Rattus norvegicus: one gene and its partner. The protein of the gene in region 2 binds, or shares a complex with, the protein of the main gene of each other region. Links are inferred from orthologs where the notes say so. Each region holds a gene or a part of one and is shown on either strand. Other genes may lie near its edges. The genes, in order: Amh and Amhr2.

Region 1 (4,450 bases), about 130 Mb from region 2:
CTCCTCCTCCAGAGCGCCGGGATGACAGGCGTGCGCCACTACACTTGGCCTTTTGGTTTTGCTTTTAAAGACCACGCACATGCATGTTAGGATGTGCAAGTGTGCTTTGCTGCTGAGCCACTTCTCCAGCTCCCTTGTTTTTGTTTTCTGAAAGAGTTTTGCTCTGTAGTTCAGGCTGACTCGAAGCATTTCTCCTGCCTCAATTTCCTTCTGGCCAGACACTTCTCTCCCCGCCACACATACAAATTAATTTAAAAAGGTCCAGGAGTTTAGTCCCAGCACTGGGGAGGCAGAGGCAAGCAGATCTCTGAGTTCGAGGCCAGCCTGGTCTACAGAGAGAGTCCCAGGACAGCCAGGGCTACACAGAAAAGCGGTAGGGACCGAAAGCTCTCCCATAGGGGAGTACCGGGTGTATGGGAAGGACTCACGCCTTGCATTCGCGAAGGGAGGTTGTCAGGAGTTCTCTCCGCCCACAGACACCCCAGCTGAGTGCTTGCTAATCTTTATTGGGGCGCTGACTGGGGACACGGGGGATGGGGTAGGGCGGACATCACCGGCAGCCGCATTCGGTAGCCACCATGTTGGGCACGTGGTGCGCGCTGATGTGCTCCTCCGACAGGCTGATGAGCAGCTTGCCGGTGTAGGCAGTGGGCACACAGCAGGGCAGGCGACCCAGGGCGGCCCCGCGTGCCTGCATTTTTAGCAGCAGCACCACGTGGTTCCCGTACCGTGGGTTACGGTCCGACTGTGGCCATGCACAGGCGCCTTGGCAGTTGTTGGCTTGGTAGGTCTCCGGGATGAGCACTGAGCGCTCTGCTCGAAGGTCCACGCTCAGCTCGCGCAGCGCGCACAGCCCATCTGTCCCTGTCCCCTTGCTGCGCCCCGCCCTCCCGCGCCCTTCCCGCCCTCGCCACTCTGCACGCAGGCCCTGCAGTGCCTTCAGCAGCAGCAGCGCTCGCAGCGGGTCCCCGGCGCTGCGGGAGTCGTTGGGGCACAGCGCCAGTAGGCGCGACAGCAATGGGGGGGCTGTGGGTGGCAGGCCTGGGAGGTCCCGCAGCTCCGAGGCCGCTGCCTGCAGCTCTACCGCTACCCTGCGTGCCAGGCCTGCTGCCCAGGGAGCAGATGTGGGGCTGTGCAGCCGCATAGGTTCCCCCACAGTGGCCGCAGCGGGTGACAGCAGCAGTAATAGGGGTTCCTCCCCATCGAGCAGACGTCCCAGCGCCACGGGGTCTGAAAGGTTGACCAGGCCCTGTGGGAAGCTGGCCAGCGCACCAGGGTCCAGGGCCAGACGAGTGTTCGAGGCCCGGGTCAGAGGTCCCCGCAGAGCACGAACCAAGCGAGTGAGGGTCTCTAGGAAGGGGTCAGCACTGTGTGGCAGGTCCTCAGGCTCCAGGGACAGCCTGGAATAGAACGAAGTGGGCCAGCTGTGAGCACAAGAGGCTGTGGTGGACCCTCTACCCATTCCCACCTCCCCATTTCCTCCTCCGTCCTTGCGCGCACCCAGGCTGCGGGAAAGGCACGGTGTCCAGCTGGCCATGTGCTGGCTGCGGTGTCGGCCCGGTGGGTGGCAGCAGCACTAGGGTGGGAGTCATCCGCGTGAAACAGCGGGAATCAGAGCCAAACAGAAAGGCCTGCAGCTGAGCGATGGTCAGGGTGGCACCTGTAGAGGGTGGGCGCGTGCTGGCTGAGGGCAAGGGCTAAGGGCAGCCTCCTTCCACACTGTCCCCTCCTCTCTGCCAGGACCTACCTTCTTTGCTTGGTTGAAGGGTTAGGGCGAGCCCCGAGCCGCTCCAGGCCCCCGCTGGAAAGTGCACAGTCAGCACCAAATAGCGGGTGTCCCGAGTAGGGCAGAGGCTCTGTGGATACAGGAACTCACTGGACTGGACTGGGGAAGTGGTCAGGCACCACCCCCTGCCAGACTGGGAATAGACTCCAAGGTGTACTCCTCACCCCAGGAATCCTCCCATCTGGCACAACTTCTCCCCCAACCCCCAACCAGAGGACCCACGCCAGTCTCTGGTACCTGTGTGCCCTGCAGTCCAGCTCCTGTGACTGTGACCTGGGGCCCAGGTCCAGGGTATAGCACTAACAGGGCTTGCTCCCAGCGGCTGGCTCCCCCAGGTGGAGGCTCTTGGAACTTCAGCAAGAGCTGAGGCTCCCATATCACTGCAAATATTGGTGACAGCTGAGTCTCTGAGGCCATTAGCATCTGTCCCTCAAGTCCCTCAGTCAGACTCTAACCGGGGATCTTCTGGGGTCATGTATGAAGACCTTGCTTATAGATAGGGACGTGACAGCTCTTCTGTCTGGGAAGGTGTGACCATGGGATGTTCTGCCATCTTGCAGACTACGGCTCCCACAAGGTGTGTCCCACAAGGTTCTGTTTGGCAACCAAGTTAGGGATTTCCCCCCACACTCCACAGGTCCCGCCCAAACCTTGGGAGGAGCCTCCGTTAGTCCCAAGGCAACAAGGGTGTTGAGATGTTGTCCTTCACGTACCTTCAGCCAGATGTAGGACTAGCAACTGCTGTTCCCCAGTCTCTCCGAGCCAGGCCCCGAGGCGCTGAAGGGCAGGCAGGGTAGTCTGGGAGTCAGTACTGCAGACTCCGAAGGTGGCTAGGTCTTGAGGTCCCCAGCGAGACTCTTGGACAGCCTCCAGGAAGGCATGCTCATAGCTGTGCAGGCCCCCCACCACCGTCAGGGAAGCCTTGCTTGTGTCCCCTTCCCCTCTCACCGCCACCAGGCACAAAGGCTCAGGGGGACTGCTGGGAGGCCAGACCCCATCTTCAAGGAAGATGAGGCCCCTGGTATTGGTCAGTTCTTCAACTGTGTCAGCCTGTAACACAGCCCCCATAGTCGCTAGCAGCAGCAGCAGCAGAGAGAGGTGTGGCCCCTGCATGGTGGCATGGCAGGGTCTGGGTGGTCCTGCTTATATGCATTCGAGCCAGAGTGCTTGGGAGGGACACCTCTATCAACCCCTGAGGTGACCTTGGGGACAGTGCCTGGCTGCGCTTTGCATGCCCATCAGGTGGGAGGCGGCTGTCTCAAAAGGCTTTCTGTCCTCAGAGCCAGCCCCCAACTGCAGAGGCCGAGGTGTCCTTGGGTCGTTCCCATCTGCCTGGGGAGCCCACCTGGACGATCCCCCAGGTCACCACGCCTTCCATAGAGACAAGCAGTACCCACCCAACCCCACTACCAAAAACACACACTGCAGACAGGGAGACATGGGGGAGGCTGTTTAATTGACTTAGGACAGGACAAAATAGAAAACCTCCCAAGGACTGGCCATGGGAAAAGAGCACACAGAGCACAGAGGCTGGTGGCGGGCTACTCAGTTGCCTGGGGGAGGCGGAGGCATGTTCCCAGGGCCATCCGAGGGAAGGGGGGGCCTTAGCATGGGGGGCATAGGAGTAGGGTGAACCCCTGGAGGCTGAGGATGGACCCCTGGGGCAGCAGGGTGGACTCCAGGAGGAGGCTGGGGGTGCACCCCTGGTGCCTGAGGGTGGATCCCAGGAGCTGGGGGGTGTACACCAGGGGCTTGAGGGTGGACTGCAGGAGCAGGTGGATGCACCCCTGGAGCCTGAGGATGAACTCCAGCTGATGGAGGAGGGTGGACCCCTGGAGCTGGGGGGTGGACCCCTGGAGCTGGGGGGTGGACCCCTGGAGCTGGGGGGTGGACCCCTGGAGCTGGGGGGTGCACCCCAGGGGCTGGTGGGTGCACTCCAGGGGCTGGAGGGTGCACTCCAGGGGCTGGAGGATGGACCCCAGGAGCTGGGGGATGGACCCCAGATGTTGGTGGATGAACCACTGGGGCTGGGGGGTGCACCCCAGGAGCTGGGGGATGGACCCCAGATGTTGGTGGGTGTACTACTGGGGCTGGGGGGTGTACCCCAGGAGCTGGTGGGGGCATCTGGGGAGGTCCAGGGGGCCCAGAGGGAGCAGGCCCAGTGGGGGGCATAGGAGGAAGAGGCAGGCCACCAGGTGGAGGTGGGGGCAAGGCATCAGGGAGTGGTGGGCGAGGAGGTAGTCCGTTCATGAGTGGGGGCGGGGGCCGCTTGACGCCTGGGGGTCCTGCTGGGAGGCTGGGAGGGGCTGGGGGCTTCTCCATCTTAAAGTGGAACTGAAGAAAAAACTGCAGAGGAGGGTGTGTCAGTGACTGGGCAGGGCGTGGGGCCGGGGGATACCCATGCAGGGCCTTCGGAGCCTCACCTGCTTGGTCTCTCGGTTCCAGTGGGTCCAAAACTTGCCCTCAGCCTTGTCGATCTCGCGGCTCGGCACCTAGGGAGGGAGGGAGGCAGAGGCTGCAGCACCCCAGGGAAGGGCTGGATCTAGCTGCCCTGCTCTGTCTCTCCTGCAGGGTCATTACCTTGAAGGCGATGGTCTCATAGGGCTCAGCAGCCATGAGGAGGTACTGCCAGCGGCGGTCCGGGGGCTCGATCCTCTGCTCATA
Region 2 (4,597 bases):
ATCATTATTATTTCTTACTGTTCCCAGTGCCCTGTCCCAGCTCTCAGCACACCATACTTGACATTTGCGACTTCCTTTTCTATGACCCATTAGTCTATGACGCCTGTAAAACCAGGGGCCATGTGGGCTTCTCTCGGCATCTAGAAGTGCTTGCCACATAGTTTATAAATATTGGTTAAATGAACATATGAATGAGTTTACAAAGCTATTCCTGGATGTGTACTTAACAATGGCCCTCTTCTAGCCAGGCAGGAGTGGCACAAGCTTTTAATCCCAGTGCGTGGGAGGCAGAGGCAGGCAGATCTCTGTGTGTTCAAGGACAGCCTGGTCTACAGCACAAGTTCCAAGACAGACAGCCAAGGCTACACTGAGAAACTGTCTCAAGAATGGTGTGTGTGGGGGTTGGGGATTTAGCTCAAGTGGTAGAGCGCTTACCCAGGAAGCTCAAGGCCCTGGGTTCGGTCCCCAGCTCCGAAAAAAAAGAACCAAAAAAAAAAAAAAAAGAATGGTGTGTGTGTGTGTGTGTGTGTGTGTGTGTGTGTGTGTGTGTGTGTGTATTCAAAAGAAAGTATAAGGCAGGAGAGTAGGCATGAGTAAGGCCCAGTGGTCATGTAGCGCCCCATAGGAGTAGTGCATAATATAGACTACAGAGATTTCTTGATGCTCACCTTAGGGTACAGTTCCAGTACCAGCAAAGGCCCAGAGGGCAAGGGGCCAGGGCCTCCCTGGCCAGCAGTGATAAAGCGAACAATGTGGTTATGCTGTAGGCCTAGCAGCTGGTACACAGCTCGCTCAGCTCGGAACTGGGCCACAGCCCTTGGGGGGAAGGCCTTGATGGCTACCATCTCACCCTGGAGCCTCCCAGCCCAGACGACTGCATGACCTCCTTCCTGGATTACCTGGTAGAGACACTGCATTGAGTGTGGGCCTCAGAGCTAGCGCCAGGGCCAGCCTTCCTCCCCAGCAGAACCTCCAGGAGTGCCAAAAGAGCCCACCCTCCTTCCCTGGAGCACCTGGGAGAAGCGCAGCTCAGCCAACTCGGGCAGTTCCTCACTGCAGTCTCCTCCTGAGCCTGGCTCCGGCTCCGGGTCTGACCCACCTTGCACTCTACAGGCTTTTCGTTGTAACAGGGCTGAAGTAGAGAAGAGTCTTAGGGTAGGGTGCACAGGATGGAGACAGCCAGGGGAGCTATGTGGGAAGAGAGCATCTTGCAAGGAAATGTAAAAGAAAATCCCAGACCTGGGGGCTCAGCAGGGCCCAGAGGAGGCTTGGCCCTTTGGGCAAGTGTCATGCTATCACAAGGGAGGGGTGGGAGAGGTCGGTACCCAAGATGATGATACTCAGCAGCAGCACAAGGAACACTCCCAGCAGCAGCTGCGCCATCCAGATGGGCCCACCTGGACAGCAAGGGAAGATGGCACGGCACACGGGGGTGAGCACTGAACCTCTCCCCTCTTCAAAGAGATTACTTTCCAATCCACCCCCATGCTGGTCGCAAGCCCCCTTATCTCCCAGTCACCAGGGCAACCAACTTTCCAAGGCCAGGAGGAGGGAAAGTTTGGGCGGAGGTGGGGTGAGAACTGGCCCCGGTTCTCACCCTGACCTATGCTTCTGCTCCCCAGTGGGCTCTAGTAACCTGGGGAAGGCAATTACCTGGGGTAGCCTGAGGCTCCTGGGGGCCGGGAGCCCCTCGGTTTCCTGAAGGAGGCAGATGGCTGTAGTTGGCATTGCAGAAGTCGGTACCGCAGGAGCATGTGAAGAGTGTGGAGCTGGGGCTGGGGTGCGCTCGGGGGACGGGGTCACAGTGGAGGGACTCACAGCCGGGTTCATCACTGTCTAGGCATCCTGAAGGGGTGGGGTTAGGGGAAGGAGGGAAAGGAAAGAGAGTTCCATAAGGTTTGGGGACAGAGAACAAATCCGGGCTCTGTCAAAGGCATCTGACATGCCTTTTCCCCCCTCTACACATTCCACTTCTCCCCTTCCTTTTGGCTGCCTCCCTTAACCTAGACATGCCTCTCGCCCACCACGTGTTTTGTCATTCACCTTGCATCTCCACTTGTGCCCGGCCATGGGTCAGATTCCAGATCCCAAAGCAGCAATGGCTGTAGAGGCAGCGGATACCCTTCGGGGGGCCTGGTCCTGCATCTACCACTTCCCCCAGTGTTTTTGTGCTTCCCCGAACTCCAGGAGCCTCAAAGAACACACAGGTCCTCCTGTTTGGGGATACTGAAGCCCAAGGTGAAGGGAGTCAAGAAGGGAGTGAAGGCAAGGACAAATAGCAGTCAAGCATAGACAAAACATGATGTCTAGATCCCAGGTCAGTACAGCAGAGCCACAGGACACTGGCTCAGCAGAGGCCTGAGCTCTAAGCCCCACCATGGGAACCTGGGCTCTGCCTTTCCTCCCAGCCCCCTGGCCTCTTTCAAATGGGTGGCTGCTGCTTCAAGTACACCTTTCCCTTACTGAGTGGTGTAAAGACCCTGCCCCTCTCTGTAGACACTTACCTTGTGCAGCTGCAGGAAGCAGTGTCCAAAGCCCCAGTGTCCCCAGCATCCTACTAAAGGATGTCAGCAGGACAGCACACACCAGCACAGCTACCCTCGTCAACGCTTCCTACAAATACAGGGCACTGTGGGGCTTCCAAGCCCTCAATCCCCAACTCCGCCCCCCTCTGCCCTATCCCAGTCTCTGTGGGGGAGAAGGCTGCTGTGGGGGAGAGGTGGGTGTGAGGAAAACAGGGAGAAAAAGGGAGGAGCAGAGAACCAATCTCTCTCTTCAACTACCTCCTCTCTTCTCTGCAGAGCAGGGAGGAAGGGACCTTGGCTGTCCTGCTGAGAACCCTGTGATAATTAATTCTGAAATCTCTATCCCTTACTGACCTTGGAAGAAGGTGCTGGACCTTCCGTCTTTTTCAGAAAGATATTTTGGGCGCTCAGCTCTGCCCAAGATGGTTCCCATGGATTGAGAACTCATTTGTAGCATCCTGAACAGAGAAGACTTCACAAAGTTGATCTCATTTTTCAAACTCAAAAATCAGAAAGGATGTGAAATTTTTCAGAGAAGACCTGGTGAGATGCCACAGTGATCAAAAGCACTTGGAGCCCTCGTGGAAGAATCATGTTTGGTTTACCCACATGGCAGCTCACAACTGTTTGTAACTATGGTTCCAAAAGATTTGATGTCCTCTTCTGGCCTTTATGGGCACAGGCGTGCATGTGATGTCAAACACCCAAGCAAATGAAATAAAATAAGAACACATGCTCCTGGGCTGGAGAGATGGCTCAACAGTTAAGAGCACTGACTGCTCTTCCAGAGGTCCTGAGTTCAATTCCCAGCAACCACATGGTGGCTCACAACCATCTGTAATGAGATCTGATGTGTGTCTAAGACAGCTACAGTGTACTCATATACACTAAATAAATAAATAAATATTAAAAAAAAAAAGCAGAGTGAGATTTTATCCTGGGTATGTATGACTCCAAATCCCACACTCTGTTCTCTGTATTATACAATGTTGCCTTAAAACAAATGCAAACTTCAGAGGCTAAAGAAATGTTTCTCTCTCTGGAGAGATGGCTTAATGGTTAAGAGCACTGACCGCTCTTCCATAGGTCCTAAGTTCAATTCCCAGCAACCACCTGGTGGCTCACAACTATCTGTAAAGAGATCTGGTGTCATCTTCTGGTCTGCAGGCGTACAAGCAGGCAGAAAGCTGTATGATGTATACGTAATAAATAAATAAATAAATAAATATTTTAAAAAATGTTTCCATAGTGGGCATGGTGCAGGCCTTTAACCCCAGCACTTAGAGAGGCAGATGGATCTGAGTTCAAGGCCAGCCTGGTTAATGGCAAATTCTAGGACAGCCAGGGCTACATATACTATGTCTCAAAAACAAAAACAAACAAAAAAACAAAAACAAACAAACAAAAACACTTTCACTGTCTACAGAATTTCAACATTTGAATTGGGATTGCTGAGAAGTGTGTACCAGATAGCATGTTTGCCAACCGGCCAACAACTGGGAAGGGAACCTACAGTTCAAAATCTCACCACCAGAGGTCAGCAGGCATAGAAGAAATTTGTCCCTGGCAAGAGGACCTCCTCAGGTGACTAATATTTACATCACGCTTCCAAAACGTCCTAAACTGGAGTACTATAAAATATAAAGAAAGGCCACAGGGTGTGTAAGAGGGCAAGTCCACATGAACAAAGGGTCTGTGGCTTGTGTTGCCGTAGAGTGAGGCATGCAGACTCATTTTCCCCAGAGTTAGAAACCAGTCATGGGTTATCATGTCCACACCTGTGAGTAGCTGGCTTCAAAGAGCTGGTTAAAGAGGACTAGTTCCCCGTTCACGCTTCTGACCCCGTTCTGTTCTGGCTGCCTTTCTCAGGATGACCTAACTTAGATCACAGGTGACCGTACCAGCTCATAGTGGGCGGGGCCTTTCTCCTGGGGAGCACGTGTGAGAGGAGGCAATAGCTGTGAGACAGGGTGGCTTCCGCCGCCTTGTGGAAGTCTGCAGGGCTGTGCTGGAAAGGTGTGGGATGTTGTGCTTAGTTCCTGCTGTCCTCCTTCACCAGACCCCAGATCAGA

What was found.
Region 1: the proteins of Amhr2 (region 2) and Amh are in contact, whole or in part, in a crystal structure (PDB 7L0J), measured with the Homo sapiens proteins. The link is inferred for Rattus norvegicus from reciprocal best matches to the Homo sapiens genes AMHR2 and AMH. Residues at the interface, in NP_065434.1 of Homo sapiens: Gly31, Val32, Arg33, Gly34, Ser35, Thr36, Thr38, Leu39, Phe62, Ile64, Glu75, Met76, Arg80, Asp81, Ser82, Glu84, Pro85, Ser95, Arg97, Ala98, Pro100, Ser101, Leu106, Thr108; in NP_000470.3 of Homo sapiens: Leu471, Arg472, Glu474, Val477, Leu478, Ile479, Pro480, Glu481, Thr482, Tyr483, Gln484, Lys534, Leu535, Ile537, Leu539, Glu542, Arg543, Ile544, Ser545, Ala546.

What each region holds. Positions count from the first base shown.
Region 1 is NC_086025.1:9,556,961-9,561,410, forward strand, and holds Amh (muellerian-inhibiting factor precursor), read right to left. Parts: upstream 2,908-4,450; 5' UTR 2,900-2,907; coding exon 2,500-2,899; intron 2,167-2,499; coding exon 2,024-2,166; intron 1,857-2,023; coding exon 1,748-1,856; intron 1,661-1,747; coding exon 1,501-1,660; intron 1,401-1,500; coding exon 551-1,400; 3' UTR 491-550; downstream 1-490. Other genes in the region: Sf3a2 (splicing factor 3A subunit 2), read right to left, coding at 3,332-4,132, 4,210-4,278, 4,367-4,450. UniProt on the Homo sapiens protein: Plays an important role in several reproductive functions. Induces Muellerian duct regression during male fetal sexual differentiation. Also plays a role in Leydig cell differentiation and function.
Region 2 is NC_086025.1:135,456,329-135,460,925, reverse strand, and holds the start of Amhr2 (anti-Muellerian hormone type-2 receptor precursor), read right to left. Parts: upstream 3,005-4,597; 5' UTR 2,880-3,004; exon of another isoform or gene 2,614-2,879; 5' UTR 2,554-2,613; coding exon 2,505-2,553; intron 2,227-2,504; coding exon 2,044-2,226; intron 1,846-2,043; coding exon 1,654-1,845; intron 1,398-1,653; coding exon 1,326-1,397; intron 1,133-1,325; coding exon 1,014-1,132; intron 900-1,013; coding exon 669-899; intron 1-668. UniProt on the Homo sapiens protein: On ligand binding, forms a receptor complex consisting of two type II and two type I transmembrane serine/threonine kinases.